Linked DNA regions of Ovis aries. The protein of the gene in region 5 purifies or fractionates together with the protein of the main gene of each other region. This does not show direct contact. Links are inferred from orthologs where the notes say so. Each region holds a gene or a part of one and is shown on either strand. Other genes may lie near its edges.

Region 1 (3,514 bases), on a different chromosome or scaffold from region 5:
TTAAAATATTCTCAGTAGGATCTATTCTCTTGGTTTGCTTTCACACTTGCATGACTGGCCCTCAAATTCAACCCATATAATTTATCTTTGGGACAATATAACAAAGGTTGACAGGGAGAGCAATAAGTATTTTAGCAAATTTTGCTTTCCCTTTGGTAAGGATCCAAAATGTACCTTCATCTTTTGATCATCTCAAGAGGCAAAACAAACAGATTCAAAGATCATGTCAAACCTTTGGCGATGGCGGACTGCTGGCATCTGGCTTCGGTTTCGAGTCTTCTACCTCTTCAATGACGTCATCAAGGTCATCCTCAATGTCAATCACATCATCGTCATGTCCATCATGAGCTTGAACAAGAGCAGTTCCAAGGACCAGTAACATACACAGCAACCACTTCCCTTCCATGATCTAAGTATTTATTAAAAAAAAATACAGTTAATTGTATCACCTCCTTTCAAAAATTTTGAACCCTTATTTAAAATTAAGGCTTTCAAATCAGAGCTGAAAGGAACTTTACTGTATTTCATTTTATAGATAAAGAAAGTGAACTCAGAATAACAGGTTTTCCTAAAATCAGTTAGTTAAAAGATTCAATTTCAAGAAAAAATTCAAACTATAACTCAAACAATTGTCCCCATATAGAATATCATGTTGGCTACACAGACCTAGGGTGTTCAGATATAATTTCAAAATAACTTCTTGCATTTGTAAAGAGCTTTACAATAGACAAAGCCCCTTTTACAGAATAGTTTAAACGAGTTAAAACATTACAATGAAATAACAGAGGAGTTAACTTGCCTCACATTAAAGACTTAATTTAGATTAGATGCTGCTGTTTTTGTCCAAAGATCAAGAAGAATAGGTATGTTTTTTAATTAGTGTTTTAAGGGACTTCCAGGGAACCCTGTGCAAAGCAGGGGACTTGAGTTTGATCCATGGCTGGGGAACTAAGATCCTCCATGCAACAGAGCAACTAAGCCCAGAGCAAACAGGCCACAATTCGAGACTCCATGCTCAACAAGGTCCTGCACTAAAACCAGACCCCGCAGGATGCAAAGATCCCACCTGTCAGCAACTAAGACCCAATAAGCCAAGTAAATAAATAATACATCAGTTTTAAGATTCAACAAAAAAATATATTAAACCATGCTGCTGCTGCTAAGTCACTTCAGTCGTGTCCGACTCTGTGCAACCCCAAAGACGGCAGCCCACCAGGCTCTGCCGTCTCTGGGATTCTCCAGGCAAGAACACTGGAGTGGGGTGCCATTTTCTTCTCCAGTGGATGAAAGTGAAAAATGAAAGAGAAGTCGCTCAGTCATGTCCGACTCTGTGCCACCCCATGGACTGCAGCCCACCAGGCTCCTCCGTCCATGGGAGTTTCCAGGCAAGAGTACTGGAGTGGGGCGCCATTGCCTTCTCCGAAAAACAAAAAAATATATTAAACCATAGACCAACTATTTTTATCTCTTTTTTCTAAGCCTTCAAGTGTCTTACATATCATATCTGACTGTCATGGATGGTAGTCAATCCTCTCTCCAAAACCACAGATCTAAAGATACAAAAACTGAGCCACACGGATGCACAAAATGATTCGGCAGTAGGTTGTACAGAATTTTAATTCTGCAAGATGAAGAGTTCTCGAGACGGATGGAGGTGAAAGCTGTACAACAATATGAACATACTCAATGCCACTGAACTTGATGGTTAAGATGGTAAATCTTACAAGTATTTTCACTGCTATAAAAAAGATTTTATTAAAATAAAATAGCTTAATTTTTTGGTCACTGGTAAATCAACTTATTCTAATGCTGAATTTAACGCCTAATTCCTTATAAATGCTATAATCCTTTAAAGTGATTGATTATATAGAACTAGACTTTCATGTATCATTTGGCGGCATTTCCTTTATTTATAAAGCGTGGGTACTGTTTTCACAAAATGAAAGAAAGTAAGGCTCACTGGACTCCTAGGCAGCACAGAAAATAAAGAAATAAAAGATTTTTATAAAAATAAAAACTCACTCATCATCTTTCCTAGGACTGGTATTAGAGTTTAAAAACTCTCAATGTCAACATTCTGCTATGGCTTCTTATATACCAAGAAATGCCAGTAATTTCAATTTTTCACTGTTAAGGCTTCTATTCTCTACCACCGAAATCTACAATGGCGTAGCAATATCGCTTTGATTTACAACTACACTGGATTCTCTGAAACTAAACAGGCTGATTCAACCCTTTTATCTACATCAACTGTATACAACCTAAGAAGTCCTCACAGAAATAATGCTATAAATGGCAGTTGGGTTCCCAGGGATACTCTATAAATCAAATTAGCCCACAAAATAGTTAAGTCAAAAAGGCAAATGTGATAAGCCCAGTAGCAATTAAGTGAACCACAAAGCCAGTGAATTAATAAGGACTGTGCACTGATGTTAAAACACTGCTGCTCAAGGAAAAGCTAATCGGGGAGATGAACTAACTACTTAACTTTCAAAAATGGGATTCAGGTAGGGTTCAGTGAGGGAGAGTACAGCTGCAGAACAGGAAGACTGATTTTTTTCCCTGTATCTTTTAATTTACTGATATACTGCTGTTATGTTATGGGCTTGCAGATGGCTCAGTGGTAAAGAACTGGTCTGCCAATGAAGGAGACCCACATTTCGGGAAGATCCGCTGGAGAAGGAAATGGTAACCCACTCCAGTATTCTTGCCTGGGAAATCCTATGGAAGGACCTGGCAGGCTACAGTCCATGGGGTTGTAAAAGATTTGGTCACAAGTGAGCAACTGAGCGCACACACACATACAACATATACCGCTGTTACAGGCTTAACTGTGTCTCCTACCTCAAATTTGTATGTTGAAACTTGAACTCCCAACATAACTATATTTAGAGATAGGACCTTTAAGTAATTAAGGTTAAAAGCAGTCATAAGGTTGGGGCCCTAACTGGTGTCTATAGTAAGAGGAAGAGAACCAGGAATCCACATGCACAGAGGTTAAGTCCAACGAGGACACAAGATGGTGGCCCTCCGCAAGCTGAGGAGGAAGGCCACATCAGAAGCCAACTCTGCCAACGCCTCGATCACAGACTTCCAGACTGTAAGAAAACACTTTTCTGTTGTTTAAGCTGCCCGGCCTGTGGTGCTGTTGTGGCAGTCCAAGCAGACTAACACAATGCTCCTTGGGTTGAGTATAATGTCACAAGACAGCTCTTCCTAACTTGAGCGTGCCTCAGGGGGCTTTTTAAAACAGACTGCTGATTGAGTGTGTGCGTGCTGGGCCTTTTCCTTCCTATCAGGTTCCAGGGGATGCAAAGGTTGCTACCCTGAGAACCACTGACTAGGGTTTATGAATCATCAACTTGTGCTTTGTGTTCCAGTTTATAAAAGCACTTTCACAGTTACATTATTTTGCAAACCTCCCTTGAGGTATTACTAAGATGTAGTGAAATGAAAACAACCCAATCATTTACTCAATATCACAACCAATAAGTGAGAGTCAAAGACTTCAGAT
Region 2 (3,970 bases), about 11 Mb from region 5:
TCAAAAAACTGATTGGAAAGCTTGTGTGCCTGCTAGGGCTCGAGGGCTTCCCTGGTGGCTCAGACAGAGAAGAATCTCCCTGCAGTGCAGGATTCTCCGCCACGGACGTAAATGTAGGATTCCCTCATCTTGTTTCTTTAAGAGAACCCTGATGAAAATATCTTTGGGATTTCTCTGTTGGGCGGGACAGAGTCTCCAGATAAGTTTTTCCAAAGATATAGTCATGATCTTGTTTATGTTTGTTTAGGAATCAATTTCTCAGGATTACTTAATCAGTTCCCATTCCTCCATTTGCTTTCTAGCTTCTGAAATGTTGCTGCTGTCTCCTTTCCCTTTGTTCCTAAGTGGTCTGGAAGACAATACCTACGTTTGTCACTCGCAGCTGTCCAGCTCCCAGTTTTCAACTGGAAGTTCCCATTATTTCTTTGTGGGCTTCCCTGGTGGCTCAGGGGTTAAAGTGTCTGCCTGCAATGTGGGAGACCTGGGTTCGATTCCGATCCCTGGGTCGGCAACCCACTCCAGTATTCTTTCCTGGTGAATCCCATGGACGGAGGAGCCTGGTGGGCTACAGCCCATGGGTTCACAGAGTCGGACATGACTATTTTTATTGGAAGACAACTGCAGGATCGTCCAGAAAGGTTTTGACACAAATTACCAGATCACCTAAATATGTATGTAAAATGAAAAGAGGAATGCTACTATACAATAATTGTTTTGTAACAAGTATTAAGTAGCTTTCAAGAGTATTGTGTGCACGCCCCCATCCACCTCAAAGTCCGCTTGGCGGCGGCCAGACACAGTACAAAAAATGACTTAAAAAGCAATCAGAAATGCGTACAACAGCTGGGCTAGAACAGAAAAGAAAAAAACACACACAAAAAACTGCTTAACTGGGCCCGGCGTGTAGACCGCGCCTCCCTGGAACTGGGAGAGGGGAGGAGGGGGTCCGATATCATTGGTGATTGGTTGGCCTCTTCAACCAATCACGCGTAGCGAGTGATTTTGCTAATTGTCATGATACACCTCCTCGTGGGCTTTAGAGCTACGTTGACAAATGGGAATAGGGCACGTGAGAGGGACAGAAAGTTTCGCCAATAAGACCTTGGGGCGTTATGGGCGGGATGAGGCCGCCGCCAGGTTTAGGGCGGAAGGAGTTGTTCTGGATTAGAAGGGGAACGAAAGATGGCGGCGGAAACGCTGCTGTCCAGTCTGTTGGGACTGCTACTTCTGGGGCTCCTGTTACCCGCAAGTCTGACCGGCGGGGTCGGGAGCCTGAACCTGGAGGAGCTGAGTGAGATGCGTTATGGGATCGAGATACTGCCGTTGCCTGTCATGGGAGGCCAGGTGAGGAGGCGTAAAGGGGCAAGGGTCCTGGGCAGAAAGGGAAGGAGAAGGTAGAGGAAAAAGGGCAGCTGTGGAGTTTGTGGCGGAAGCCTAAGGAGAATCGGGAAGAGTAAGCAGCGGTTTTATGAGGATTCCTGAAGATCGTAGTCAAAGACCCATTCCCTTGGGGCCAGGGACTGGGAGGGGTGGGGCTTCCCTCTGTCAACTTCAGGTCCCAGTTCCCTATTGAAACACTCAGACTCCTCCCCTGTGAAAAAGTGGGAGTGCCCTCTCCCCTCACCCGCTGAACACCGCTGGAGGACTTGTGGCTCACTCTGTCTTGACTGGACTCCTCCCCATTATGTGAAGAGGGATCTCGTTGTTCTCCCTGATCCCAAACCTCTGTTTGCCTCCCTGTCCCCCGACCCCCACTTCTTTCCCAGAGCCAAGCTTCGGACGTGGTGATTGTCTCCTCTAAGTACAAGCAGCGCTATGAATGTCGCCTGCCAGCTGGAGCTATTCACTTCCAGCGTGAAAGGGAGGAGGAGGCACCTGCTTACCAAGGGCCTGGGATCCCTGAGTTGTTGAGCCCGATGAAAGATGCTCCCTGCCTGCTGAAGGTGAAAGGAACTGGGATAGAGGGAAGGAGGGCATGGAAACTAGTTATCTATTTGGGAACTTGTTATCTATTCACAGTGTGTCTGTGAATGAGGAGTGATCAGAGTATCTGTAGGTGTTAAGAAGGCCATTGAAGGAGCAGGCATATTGTACAGACAGGAAAAAAGCAAAGAATCCTGTAACCAATGATGATACTTTGCTGATTATAGAGGAGTGTTAGGATAGAAAATCTCAGAATAAAGATTAAGCTAATATTGAGGTGCTTAAAGGGGTCAGGCTGAGGCAGTAGGGGTACTCCCTTAGAGAAACTTTCCTGGTTAAGTCACCCCTTTCCCTGTCACTCTCTGCCCAGTGTCCTGTTTTATTTTCATCATGGCAACTTTTCATGACCTGAAATTATTAACTGAATTATCAGTTTGTTTATTTTTGGTCTGAATCCTAGTACTAGAATGTAAGTCTGTGAAATCAGAGAATTTATCTTGTTCACAGCTGTATCCACAGTAACTAAAACAGTACAAGGAAGATCAATTAATACTTTGATATTCCATGTTTCCCTCGTCTGAGTGCTTCAAGGATATCATGATTTCTTATCTTTATGGACAACAAAGAAGGATTAAAAAAAAATTGACAAATAAAAAAAAATTTTTTTTTTAATATTTAGAAAGAGGAGAGTAGTAAACCAACTAGGCTGTAGAAGTCTCTCTCCAAGTTACAGAAGACAAAGAGCCCTCCTCACCAAGAATCTGGAGGATTAAGAATAAGGAGGAGATGAGAAGTAAATCAGTGGTTATGTGTTTTGAGGCCAGGAGAGATTTTGGTTTCCAAGAAGAGATGTCTGCATTCCATCCCCCTGACAGTTCTTTTTTCTTTTATTGTCAGACCAAGGACTGGTGGACATATGAATTCTGTTATGGACGCCACATCCAGCAGTACCATATGGAAGGTGAGTTCCACCTATGTTTTCCCTAAGCCCTCAGAAACCTGTCATGGAAGGTGACCTGCCTCCCCAGTTCCCTTCCCTCCCAGTCCTCTGAGAACAGGGTAACAGTGCTTCACTGTGCTCTCTCTTGCAGATTCAGAGATCAAAGGTGAAGTCCTCTATCTTGGCTACTACCAATCCGCCTTCGACTGGGATGATGAAACAGCAAAGGTGGCAGGGGTGCGGGACTGGGAGAGGAAGGGGTCTGGGCTGCAGACTGAGAGCTCTGTCGAGAAGGGGAGGGGCAGGATTAACTGGCGTGCTTCTCTGGGCTTCGTCTTAGGAGCGAGTGCTCCTTTTCTTCCTCCTTGCTGTCTTTCTCAAACCCCTGCCTCATGCCTGATGTCCTCCCCAGGCCTCCAAGCAGCATCGCCTGAAACGCTACCACAGCCAGACCTATGGCAATGGGTCCAAGTGTGACCTCAATGGGAGGCCCCGGGAGGCTGAAGTTCGGGTGAGTCTTGGGAGAGGGACGTTGACAGTCTGACAGTGACAACTCAGAGTCTAAGGGAAGAGCGCAGGGTTGTGTGGTATAGTCAAGAGTGTCTACCAGGCCCTAGACCCTAAGTGTAAGACTCGTATTTCCAGCTTTGCGTCACTGCCTCAATTTTCACAGGCACTTCTATTTTTTTTTAATTGGTGTATAATTGCTTTACAATGTTGTATTAGGTTCTGCTCTACAACAACGTGAAACAGCTATATGTGTACATATATGCTCCCACTCTTGAGCCTCCTCTGTCCCCGCCCCCACGCCCCACTCCTCTAGATGAGCGCATAGCCCCGAGCTGCGCTCCCTGCGCTGTACAGGAGCTTCCTGCCAGCTGCCTGCTTTACACATGGCAGTGCATACATGTCAGTGCTGCTCGGTTAATCCATCCCACCTACTCCTTACCCCACTGTGCCCAGAAGTCCATTCTCTGTGTCTGCATCTCTATTCCTGCCCTGCAGATAGGTTCATCAGTACCATTTCATAGATTCTGTATATACACATTAATATATGGTATTTGTTTTTCTCTTTCTGACTTCATTCTATATAACAGAATCTAGGTT
Region 3 (4,097 bases), on a different chromosome or scaffold from region 5:
TCACATAACCACTACACAATACTACAGTCTAACATTGCAGTTGAAAAATAGGCTGCCTAGATTCAAACCTCAGCTCTGCCATTTACTATATATGATCTTGAGCTGGTGACTTCATCTCTTTGCACCTCAGTATCTTCATCTATAAAATGAGATCTCATTCTCTTCTTCAAACTATCTTTCCTAGTACAGTCTATGTGCCAAGCAGCATACTAGATGCAGAAAGTACATTGACAAACAGGACAAAAATTCGGCCCTTGTGAAGCTAAGTTCTAATGGGGTTATCTACCTGCCTTTCTAGGCTGCTGGATGCAATTGAGTTACTTCCCACAAAAATACTTGAAAATAGTACCTGGAACATATTAAGTACAAGCCAAAGCAGGTGCTGTTAAGACCCCGTAATGACAAACCAGGAATTTCTTAAAAGAAAGGGGGGGGGCACCATTTTGGAGTCTGCCCGCCCTTGTCCCCTTTTCTCCTGGGTTGACCCTGAGCACCTGAGGTCCCCTAGGGAGCCGCCTCTTCCCTCCATGTCTCACCTGCCAAAGATCCAAGCCTAGAACAGCAAAGTTTTCATAGGCGTAGATGTTGCTATCAGGGGAATACTCAGGGTTGTCAATCTCTGGATGGATCCAAACGCCCTTGTACTCTGGGTTGTCGATCTGCCTGGGCTTCCACTCCCCCTGCAGAAGTAAACTGACGGGTGAGCGAAGATCACTGCCTTCCCCATTGTGCACCACCCTCCTCAGAGTGCCAGACTCACCTTGTACTCTGGGTTCTGAATAACAGGTGGTTCCCACTCTCCGTCCATCTCTTCATCCCAGTCCTCAGGTTTCTTAGCATCAGGGTCAGGAATGTGCTCAGGCTTGTCCCAATCCTGAGGATACATTAGGAGGTCAGAATAGGAGCAGCTGTCCTCCACACGCTCCATGGTGGGGAGCCCCTGCCCAAGCACCAACCTCAGGCTTGGAGTCTGTGGGGTCATCGATCTTGGCACGATCATCCCAGTCTTCAGGCTTAGCGGCATCAGGATCCTTTATCTTCTTGGGGGGCAAGAAATCCCAGTCGTCCTCCAAGGAGCCTGACTCCACCTGGCTGTTATCAATCTTCACCTCATACGTATTATCAGGCCGCACAATCAGCGTGTACAGGTGGGTGAATTCATCGTCCTAAAGAGAATGAAAGATGAGTGGCCCCGCCCACCAGCCTGGGCTCAAAGCCTCCCCTCACAGCCATTTGTGACCACCCCCAAGGCACACCTTGCAGCGAATATCCTTGTTGATCAGCACATTCTTGCCCTTGTAGTTGAAGATGACATGAACCTTCTTGGTGCCGGGTCCACAGATGTCTGGGCCTTGGTGAGAAGCAGATCTTGGTCAGAACTACAGTCTGTCCACCATTACAAGCCCCTGCCCACCCCATTACAAAAAGACAACTTGGTTCTTAAACTCAGGACTGTCAAGCTGAAAAAACAAAATTCAGACCTTCTCTCTAAGGAACTGGGGGAGGACACTTAAAAAAAAACAAACCACACATCAGTACTCCAGAACTCACAATCTTCACTTGCACAACTAGGAACAAGGAAATGCCTATATAGTAAAACTGCACGAATTAGTGTGAAGTCGATGATAAAAATGCAGTAAGTGGTTCCTAACTATTCCCTCACCTTCCCTATGAAAGAAATGCCTAAAGCATGTAAGTGTTTTCTATGCTCTCAAGACCACCGTTCATGGGCGATAAAGAACTCCCCGGGTTTCAAACTCCCTCTAAGTGACCAGAAATCAGCACCAGGGTGGAGTCCCCTTACCAAACATGATGTTGTATTCGGAGTCCCCGTGCATGTCTGTCTGATCCAAACCAGCTGGAAACAGCTTCACATAGCCGCCCCCACAGTCGATGTTCTGCTCGTGTTTCACCGTGAACTGCACCACCAGCGTCTGACCCTTGTTGCTGAAAGGCTCAAATCTCGCCGACAGTGCGTAGAACCGGGCATCCTGGCTAGTCTGCAGGCCTACCGAGAGACTATAATCAGATCAGGGCTCAGCACCAACCCCCCGGGGAACCCTAAGGATGTAAAATACACACCAGTCCTCCTTCCTTCACCTCCCCTACTTCTAGGGATACCCAAACTCTGTCCTCCTGGATCTGAATACCCACTCCTAAGTTCTTACCTTTATCTTTCTCCTGGTCACCATAGAACTTGCCGGAACTGAGAACGAATTTGCCAAAATCCGGTTTGTGTTTGGATTCGATCCAGCGCTCGGTCCACCCGTCTAGAGGATCAAAGAGGCAGGTAAGCGCGGCGGTGCTGATCAACTCCCCACCAAACATCTACCAGGAGCCACAAACTGCTGGGAGCAAGGAAGGAGATTCCCCCCTCCCCCCAGACCGTCCCCACCCCAACCTCTAGTTTGACATCTCTGGTGACTTAAAAGATCCTCGGGCAAACCCTAACTCCCGCTTCGGAAAGCCGCTGCTCCCTCCACGCTCCCCAGGGACGCCGAAGGAAGGCTCGCCTTCGGCTCCAGTCCCTGAAGGAAACCGTGTTGGCCCTCTGAGCAGTAATTACAAGCGACACGCAGATATGGGCCGGAGGGCCAGCCGCGTCGTTAGGACGATCTCGAGCGGGACTAGCCGTTACCTCCGTCCAGAAACTGCTCCTTGAAGTAAACGGTGGGATCAGCGGCGGCCAGGCCGAGAAGGCCGAGCAGCAGCGGCACGGGTAGCAGCATGGCGGGCCGAGGGGGCGGTGGCGCGCGGGCCCTTTAAGTCACTCGTCCGGCAGCAGCTCTGCAGTGGGGACGGACGCCGCCGCCGGCCGTGCCCTTTTATACCCCGCCTGCTCTCAAACCAGCCTGGTCCGGCCTCTTGGTCCGCCTTCCTCACTTTATCATTGGTCTGTGGCCATAGCCCTGCCTTTCCATTGGACCCTTCTAGGCTCAGCATGTTAGGCTGTGCCTCGGAACGCTGGGTTCCCAGATGGCCGATTTCTATTGGCCGCACCACTGGCCAATGAAGGTCGACCACGCGTTGTGGGGGACGCCCACCGGTGAAGTCGGGGGGGCCTCGAGCCCCTCAGTCCAGGTCATGTGACCAGACCTCGGCCCAGCCCCGCCCTCCCTTGCGCGCGGCGTTCGGGATCTAGGCGTTTAAAGAACACGCGCGAGCTGTGGTGCTGCGTGAAGCTAGGGTCCGGCTCCATTCTAGACTCCACTCAAGGGTTGAGTGGGCAAGGTTTTCCTAGCGTCTTTCTACTCTGAGTTTGGGGAACCCCACCATTCCCACCTTGTCTTTCTCTTCCTTCCCACTCCTCTTCCCGTCCTCCACCCGCCTCCCTGCCCCCCCCCCCCCCCCCCCCCCCCGCCTTCCTCCCCAACCCCGCCTTCTCCCTCCCACACCTCCCTCCCCCGGGATGGGGCAGAGGGCACCGAGCCCTGGGGCTTCACTTCCTCCCAGCGCCGGAGCCCTGCAGGCCTGGGGGAAGAGTGCCTGTTCTCAGTACGGTCCCCGTAGTGACCTGGCAGCCTGTCAGACTGCTTCTGTGTGAGCTGGGGCAAGTCATTCAGCCTCTTTGAAATCACAGGATCTCTTGAAAGGCCAGGAGGAGCGACCCCGGCCAGCTGCTGTCCGGCGGAAATGCTTTTCAAGCTTTTAGGGATTTTCTGGGACAGAGGGAAGGACCCTGACGGCTCAAAAGATGTGACGACAGGTTGTGTTCCTCTCTTTGCAGCCTGTCCTTTACCTCCCTCCCATCCCCGCCCCCCAGCCGGTAAATGAAAGGGGTCGCCGCCTTGTGGTCTCCCGCAAACGGCCTGGTTTTGCAATTAAACGGCTGAATATGAGCGGGCAGGGGGTTCCGTTGGGGAGGAGAAAAAAAAAGAGGCAGATGGTGAGGAAGATAAGGTCCAAGAGAGGTGGGCAGGACCCCTGAGACTAGAGCCTTCTGAGGCCACAGGCACATGACTGGCAGTGACTGACACCAGCCCCATACCCCTAGGCTGCAGGAAGGAGGAAGGAGAACGGGGACTTTCCCAAACTGAGCAAATAGGCTCTGGACTTGGGAAGTAGGAATAAACTGGCGAAGGCGGGGGGTGGGGGGT
Region 4 (3,514 bases), on a different chromosome or scaffold from region 5:
ATCCCCGTGGCCATCAAGGTGTTGAGGGAAAACACATCTCCCAAAGCCAACAAGGAAATCTTGGACGTAAGCCCTTCCACCCTGTCCAGCTGGGGGTATGGGGGACTGGGCTCTCTCTCTCTTCACTGGGGTTTTGGGGGACACCCTGTGATTCCCCCAAATGTCTACTCTTACCCTCCCTAGTCTGTGGGCCATGGTTCCGATTTGTGATGAATGGGATTGGGTTGGCGGAGGGCCCGTTATCATGGCTTAGCCCTTGGGAGGGGTGTGTGGTGGTTGGGGGTTAGTGGTTTCCCATACCCTCTCAGTGTGTGCCCTTGTTTCCAGGAAGCATATGTGATGGCTGGTGTAGGCTCCCCATATGTGTCCCGCCTCCTGGGCATCTGCCTGACATCCACAGTGCAGCTGGTGACACAGCTTATGCCCTATGGCTGCCTCCTCGACCACGTCCGAGAACACCGTGGGCGCCTGGGCTCCCAGGACCTGCTGAACTGGTGTGTGCAGATTGCCAAGGTATGCACTTTGGGGGCCAGGGCTCTGCAGGTGCCCTTGGGGAGCAAGCCTCTGGATAGGGAGGTTTCCTGGGAGAGTTTTGGCAGAGCGAGGTCCACACTGATGCCTCTGACCCCAGGGGATGAGCTACTTGGAGGATGTGCGGCTCGTGCATAGGGACCTGGCTGCCCGGAACGTGCTGGTCAAGAGTCCCAACCATGTGAAGATTACAGACTTCGGGCTAGCGCGACTGCTAGACATTGACGAGACAGAGTACCACGCAGATGGGGGCAAGGTTAGAGGAGCAAACCGAAACAAGGGGGAGTGGGGTCTGGCCCCTGGGAGAACTCAGACCTGGTTGGAGGACTTCCTTCTCTGCTCTACCAGGTGCCCATCAAGTGGATGGCATTGGAGTCCATTCTCCGCCGGCGGTTCACCCACCAGAGTGACGTGTGGAGCTATGGTGTGTGATGGAGTGGGTAGGGAGGGTGGACAAGGAGCCATGGCCCTGGGGAGAATGTGGGTGGAAGGATGGGGTGAACTGATAGACACCTTTGGTATAAATGTGAGAAGGAAGGAAGTGGCTGCCAGTGCCTCAGGCTGCCAGAGTGTGTGTGCTTCCCAGGGACTGGGAAAAGACCAAGTTATCTCCTGTCCTTTGGCATTGCATCTTTCCTCCTTCCCCCATGGTGCCAGGCTCTTCGGCAGAGCCTCTGAGGCTCCGTACACTAAAGCTGCCTCTGGTCCTCCCACCCCATCTATGCCCCAGGTGTGACTGTGTGGGAGCTGATGACTTTTGGGGCCAAACCTTATGATGGGATCCCAGCCCGGGAGATTCCTGACCTGCTGGAGAAGGGAGAACGGCTGCCCCAGCCCCCCATCTGCACCATTGATGTCTACATGATCATGGTCAAATGTACGTTCTTGAGCTGTGTTGGCTGCTTGGAGGAGGGGTGGGTGGTCCTGGGCGGATGGGCCTACAAGGGGCATGGGCCAAGAGCATGGTGATAAGGTTAATGGGTCTCAGAAGGCTCTCCCTGCCCTTTTACAGTACCAGTCCAGAGGAGCTAGCGAGGGCCAGCTAGGAAAAAAGACTGATCCAAAGTAAAAAGGAGAAACTGGTAGATTCTCCATCATCAGAGGGCTTTGGACTCTAGTGTTGTCTAGACTGGGCGTGAGGGTGAGGGGCGCTGCATGCAGGCTGCAGCCAGAACTGAGATGCCAGGCTCTTGCCCACCCCCAGGTTGGATGATTGACTCTGAATGTCGGCCGAGGTTCCGGGAGTTAGTGACTGAATTCTCCCGCATGGCCAGGGACCCCCAGCGCTTTGTGGTCATCCAGGTACTGAACCTTTCACCCCATCCCTGCCTATGGCTAAGAGCACTCTCCCTTAGAAGGGAGGAAAGGAAGAATGATTCCTGGGTCCCAGGCTTCCAAGCTCCTGCCTGACTCATCAGACTTCTAGCCCTCCCTGAGCCACCCCTAGGAGGCTGCGTACTGGGCTGGGGAGAGGCTGCCATGCGTCTCCCTCCTCCCCAGAATGAAGACTTGGGCCCTGCTAGCCCCCTGGATAGCACCTTCTACCGCTCGCTGCTGGAGGATGACGACATGGGAGACCTGGTGGATGCGGAGGAGTACCTGGTACCCCAGCAGGGCTTCTTCTGCCCAGACCCTGCCCCAGGAGCTGGAGGCACGGCCCACCGCAGGCACCGCAGCACATCCACCAGGGTTAGTGCTCCCATCGCATGGGGTGGGTGTCGTTGGTTACCTCCCGACTCCAGCGGACCAGGGTTCCTTCCTCCGATGTCCTCCAGCTGTTACCTCTCATGAAGGAGGCCCCATTTTCCCTAAGAAGGATTCTTACTGCTTTCCAACCGTGATCCCATTCTTTCTACCATGCCTCTGTCATACATCAGAGATGATTTATCTCCTGGGACTCTGTCACTTCCCATGGAACCTCCATCTCAGATCCATGAATGACCTCCCTTTTGACCTTCTCTTGTCCTCAGAGTGGTGGTGGTGAGCTGACACTGGGGCTGGAGCCCTCTGAGGAGGAGCCCCCCAGATCTCCGCTGGCACCTTCCGAAGGGGCAGGCTCTGATGTGTTTGATGGCGACTTGGGAATGGGGGCGGCCAAGGGGCTGCAGTCCCTCCCCCAACACGACTCTAGCCCTCTACAGCGGTACAGCGAGGACCCCACAGTACCCCTTTCTCCCGAGGCTGATGGCTACGTTGCCCCCTCGACCTGCAGCCCCCAGCCCGGTATGAAGTCAGGCTTGAGCTGAGAGGTGGGGATTGGGGGTGCTCTGCCCAGGGCCTGCTGCAGGGCAGTTGTAGCAGCTGGGACACACAGATTTCACCCTCTTACGATTCCTTCTCCTGTCCTTTCAGAATACGTGAACCAGCCAGAGGTTCGCCCACAGCCCCCGTCACCCCTAGAGGGTCCTCTGCCGCCTCCTCGACCTGCAGGTTCCACTCTGGAAAGGCCCAAGACGCTCTCCCCTGGGAAGAATGGGGTTGTCAAAGACGTTTTTGCCTTTGGGGCTGCCGTGGAGAACCCCGAGTACTTGGCACCCCGGGGCAGGGCCGCCCCTCAGTCCCACCCTTCTCCAGCCTTCAGCCCAGCCTTTGACAACCTCTACTACTGGGACCAGGACCCATCAGAGCGGGGCACTCCATCCAGCTCCTTTGAAGGGACCCCTACGGCAGAGAACCCTGAGTACCTGGGCCTGGACATGCCAGTATGAGCCAAAAGGCCAGGGCCACTGAGGCCCTGCTGAACCCTCAGGGCATGTGGAAGGCCTGACTTCTGGCCCACGTCGGCACCAGGCAGGGAGCAGGCCCTTGGATCACGTCCAGGGGAGCCTGCCATGCCAGAAATCTCCTTTCCTACTTCAACTCCTAGGTGGCTGAGAGCGGCCCAGCCTGACTTCTTCCAGACCCTTGGCACTGAACGACTTAGGGAGGCTGGGCCGAGTGCGAAGAAGGCCCCAAGGGGGTGTCTAGGAACTACAGCAACCCA
Region 5 (3,514 bases):
TAAGACTCTTGACAGCTTTTCCATACATCACAGACCAGTGTTGGCTCCATCACACTATCTTACATCCCTAGCGCTCATTTATAACTGGAAGTCTGTATCTTTTGGCCACCTTCCTTGAACCCAAACCCCTCTCCTGCAACAAGAAATCTTACCCCTTTTCCTAGGAATCGGGTACCTTATAACCTAAACAATATTTTAAGTAGGAGGATGAACCAGGCTTACTTTTTTAGTTTTTGGTTTCTTTTCGTCTTCTTCTTCTTCTACGGCAGCTTCATCATCAGATTCTTCTTTATCTTCTTTTCCTGCTTCTTCTTCTTCGGCAGGTTCCTCAACCGTTTCAGTCTGTTTATGTAGAAAATAGAATGATGGTTAAGCTAATGTTTCATAATTCTTGATTTTATTCTATAGGATATGAAACAAAATTACAGCTCAAAAAAATAGTCTTCAGTAAGAAAATACTGAGTATCCTGCATTAGAAGAACCACATTTAATCTTCATTCTTTCTGTGTTAAATAGTTAAATATGTCCAAGGTAATATAGATATATAAACTTTACTCATATAAATTTACCTTGCTGCTCCATACATAAATAGGAAAGTTTATGAACTGTGAATATTTTTTCACGAGGTTTTTAATTGTATCCAATTCAAGGTAATCAGATGCTTCTTCTTTTAAAACAAGGCTGCAAGGAAAATAAGACATTTAGAGACACGTCATTATTTAAAAGTTCTGATTATAAATTTGTGTAAATATTCATTTGACTATAATAGCCAACTGTGCATAACCCACAAAGTCCCCATTATTCATGTTAAGAACTCTTATCACCAATAAAGGTTTGTGAGCTAAATATACTAAATATGGGTATAGTAAAAGGAAGAATCTTTTTTGCACTCCCTCCCTCATGTGGAAAACATTCTTCATTATAAGCAAAAAATGAAAAGGTTTCCAACCTCCTCAATGTGCTGGATTTTTTTTCATTTGAAGAACAGAAATCTTAAGCTAGCTGAAGGTGGGAAGTTGCTGCAATATTCTGGAGAAAAGTAGAATCATACACATTCTACTAGCTTCCCTAGAAAATCAACTGATTACATACTGTAGACAGTTAACCCCTAATAAAAACACATTCCTTAAGAAAAAGCTAGAGGGCATCTCTGATGGCTCCGCAGTAAAGAACTCACATGCCAACGCAACAGTCATGGTTTTGATCCCTGATCCAGGAAGATCCCACATGCCGTGGAACAACTAAGCCTGTACATCACTACTATTGATCCGGTGCTCCAGAGCCTGGGCGCTGCAACTACTGAGCCCACGTGCCCTAGAGCCCATGTTCTACAACAAGAGAAGCCACAGCAATGAGAAGCCCATGCACCATGACTAGTAGACCCTGTTCACCGCAACTACAGAAAAGCCTGCGCAGCAACAAAGACCCAACATAGTCAAAAATAAATAAATGAATTTATTTTAAAATAATAGCTAGAACATTAATCTGAACTACTGTTTATTTGCACTAGACAAAACAGGAGCCACCCACCTGTTACATGTGATTATTTGTTAATAGTTAAAAGTCAGTTATAGTCAGTTATAGTCATAACAGTTAAAGTTAGTTCTTTAGTTAAATCGCCACATTCCAAGTCAACAGTCACATGTGGCAAGTAGCTGCCATACTGGACAGAGTAGTGAATGACCATGTCTACCACAGACAGTTCTATCAGGAACAGCACTGACTGAGATTATAATTATAGTACTGAAAACTGCAGCACTGCTTCCTCTTCTTCCTTACCACCCTTTCTGCAAACATCTCCTCCACCCACCAAAAATAACAGCCACATCATACTCTCAAACAAGTGGGTAGCCCATATCTTGATATTTGTGCTCCCAATAAAAATAGAGAATAAAAAAAAAAAAAAAAGGAGAATCCATGGTCCCCTCCTTGCCTCAAAAAGCGTATAGGAGTTTCCAGCAAGTACACAGTACGTGATGACACAGCCTAGTGAGGGGACTAAACCTCGGGTCTTGGAGTATACATACCTAGTGAGCCTAGGTTGGCACCAAGTTGTATCAGTTTTAGATGCGAATTGAAGCTGATGATTAGACATCTTAGTCAGGTATTCAAAAGGTAATTAGACATATAAGCCTAGAACCCAGTAGCAAGATCTAGACCAGGGGCTGGCAAACTCTGGTTGCCACTCACAAGAAATTTCATCAGGACACAACCTCATCATATACTCTATGACTGCTTTCAAACTATAGATAGGAGAGTTCTGACATGTTCATGAGCTGAAAATATTTACTAGCTGACCCTTTCATTAAAAGTCTGCTGACTCCTGATCTTGGCTAAAAATATAGATTAGAGAAGCCCGAGAAGGAGCCAGAGTCTGAATCCACAACAGTGGTTAAGACTGCATGATGGACACAGGACATAGAGGGCTAAAACTGCACTTCTGAAGAAAAGAGACCATCAACATGTAAGAAACAGGCAAAGGAAATTTAAAAAAAATGATGCTGGGTACTGAGTGGATTGTCTTAAGGAGTGAGCAGTAAAATGCAAATTCTGTAGAAAACACAAAAGAAAAACTCCAAAAAAAAAAAAAAAACAAGAGAGAGAAAGAGAAGCTATTGCTGGGGATCACAGCAACTAAAATAAGCATGAATCCACTGGATTTAGCAACAAGGAATATTGGTAATTTATTTCCATGGAAAAGTGGTGGATAAAGTCAAAATACCATGGGCTGAGGGGGGAATAGAAGGTGAAGTAGCAGCAAAGGCAAGTATGCTTTTTCGAAACACCCAACAGCAGGAAAGAAAATGGGAGAGCACGTGCCTGACAGCAGCACGGTGCATCACCTGCCTGCCCCCTCCTTCTCCTAGAGAGACTTCAATACATTTACACTTTGATGCAAAGAGGAAGGTGTTCAGCAAAGGCTGACTTTAAAAGATGCACTAGTAATTAATTCTCTCATCTCTGAGGAGATGGTGTGAGAGACAACAGATGAGAAGCAGTGACTAGCGTAAGGGAGAAATGTAGAATACGCCCTTCATGATAGGAGGAGGGGCAGAAGCCATTTTATGTTAGCATTTACAAGATGCTGATTTCATGATCTCATTTATGCTTCACTAAATGTCCCCTAAGTGGTGGCTCATTAAGGGTAAGAACAGGAGTAGGGAGGAAACAATTGTCTGACAGCCTCTACTTTACTGGTCCAATATTAAGATGAAGTAACATGTAGGTAGGGCAAGATCTTGACCTTGCTACTTCTTTGCCTTTGCTCTTTTCCCTTTGGCCATTCTAGACCTTCAGTTTCTCAAATGTGCCTCTGAAACTGTCCAATGTGCAGTGCTTGCTGCCTAGAACGTCTGACCCTAACTCAAAACCATTTCAGAAAGACCTTCTGATAAGGGGGTTGTCCCTTAGCTTCCTTTCTGGCATTTGCCATTCTGAAATTATTTCATGTGTTTTCTTAGTTGAATGAGCCATGTGAAAGGAGGAACAGCCACTGTCTTACTCTCCACTGTAG

What was found.
Region 1: the proteins of HSP90B1 (region 5) and CANX purify together in Homo sapiens (affinity purification with mass spectrometry; 4 studies listed by BioGRID and IntAct, with this or other methods). This does not show direct contact. The link is inferred for Ovis aries from reciprocal best matches to the Homo sapiens genes HSP90B1 and CANX.
Region 2: the proteins of HSP90B1 (region 5) and OS9 purify together in Homo sapiens (affinity purification with mass spectrometry; 6 studies listed by BioGRID and IntAct, with this or other methods). This does not show direct contact. The link is inferred for Ovis aries from reciprocal best matches to the Homo sapiens genes HSP90B1 and OS9.
Region 3: the proteins of HSP90B1 (region 5) and CALR fractionate together in Homo sapiens (co-fractionation; 4 studies listed by BioGRID, with this or other methods). This does not show direct contact. The link is inferred for Ovis aries from reciprocal best matches to the Homo sapiens genes HSP90B1 and CALR.
Region 4: the proteins of HSP90B1 (region 5) and ERBB2 purify together in Homo sapiens (affinity purification with western blotting; 3 studies listed by BioGRID and IntAct, with this or other methods). This does not show direct contact. The link is inferred for Ovis aries from reciprocal best matches to the Homo sapiens genes HSP90B1 and ERBB2.

The regions. Positions count from the first base shown.
Region 1 is NC_056058.1:1,394,384-1,397,897, forward strand, and holds part of CANX (calnexin), read right to left. Parts: intron 410-3,514; 5' UTR 407-409; coding exon 233-406; intron 1-232. UniProt on the Homo sapiens protein: Calcium-binding protein that interacts with newly synthesized monoglucosylated glycoproteins in the endoplasmic reticulum. It may act in assisting protein assembly and/or in the retention within the ER of unassembled protein subunits.
Region 2 is NC_056056.1:161,965,335-161,969,304, reverse strand, and holds the start of OS9 (protein OS-9), read left to right. Parts: upstream 1-1,166; 5' UTR 1,167-1,182; coding exon 1,183-1,344; intron 1,345-1,766; coding exon 1,767-1,943; intron 1,944-2,820; coding exon 2,821-2,884; intron 2,885-3,014; coding exon 3,015-3,100; intron 3,101-3,275; coding exon 3,276-3,374; intron 3,375-3,970. UniProt on the Homo sapiens protein: Lectin component of the HRD1 complex, which functions in endoplasmic reticulum (ER) quality control and ER-associated degradation (ERAD).
Region 3 is NC_056058.1:10,923,591-10,927,687, forward strand, and holds the start of CALR (calreticulin), read right to left. Parts: upstream 2,801-4,097; 5' UTR 2,730-2,800; coding exon 2,639-2,729; intron 2,271-2,638; coding exon 2,169-2,270; intron 2,009-2,168; coding exon 1,805-2,008; intron 1,352-1,804; coding exon 1,257-1,351; intron 1,167-1,256; coding exon 957-1,166; intron 875-956; coding exon 761-874; intron 681-760; coding exon 537-680; intron 1-536. UniProt on the Homo sapiens protein: Calcium-binding chaperone that promotes folding, oligomeric assembly and quality control in the endoplasmic reticulum (ER) via the calreticulin/calnexin cycle.
Region 4 is NC_056064.1:39,836,567-39,840,080, forward strand, and holds part of ERBB2 (receptor tyrosine-protein kinase erbB-2), read left to right. Parts: coding exon 1-66; intron 67-327; coding exon 328-513; intron 514-631; coding exon 632-787; intron 788-879; coding exon 880-955; intron 956-1,261; coding exon 1,262-1,408; intron 1,409-1,735; coding exon 1,736-1,833; intron 1,834-2,031; coding exon 2,032-2,220; intron 2,221-2,501; coding exon 2,502-2,754; intron 2,755-2,883; coding exon 2,884-3,239; 3' UTR 3,240-3,514. UniProt on the Homo sapiens protein: Protein tyrosine kinase that is part of several cell surface receptor complexes, but that apparently needs a coreceptor for ligand binding. Essential component of a neuregulin-receptor complex, although neuregulins do not interact with it alone.
Region 5 is NC_056056.1:173,212,588-173,216,101, reverse strand, and holds part of HSP90B1 (endoplasmin), read right to left. Parts: intron 682-3,514; coding exon 570-681; intron 343-569; coding exon 223-342; intron 1-222.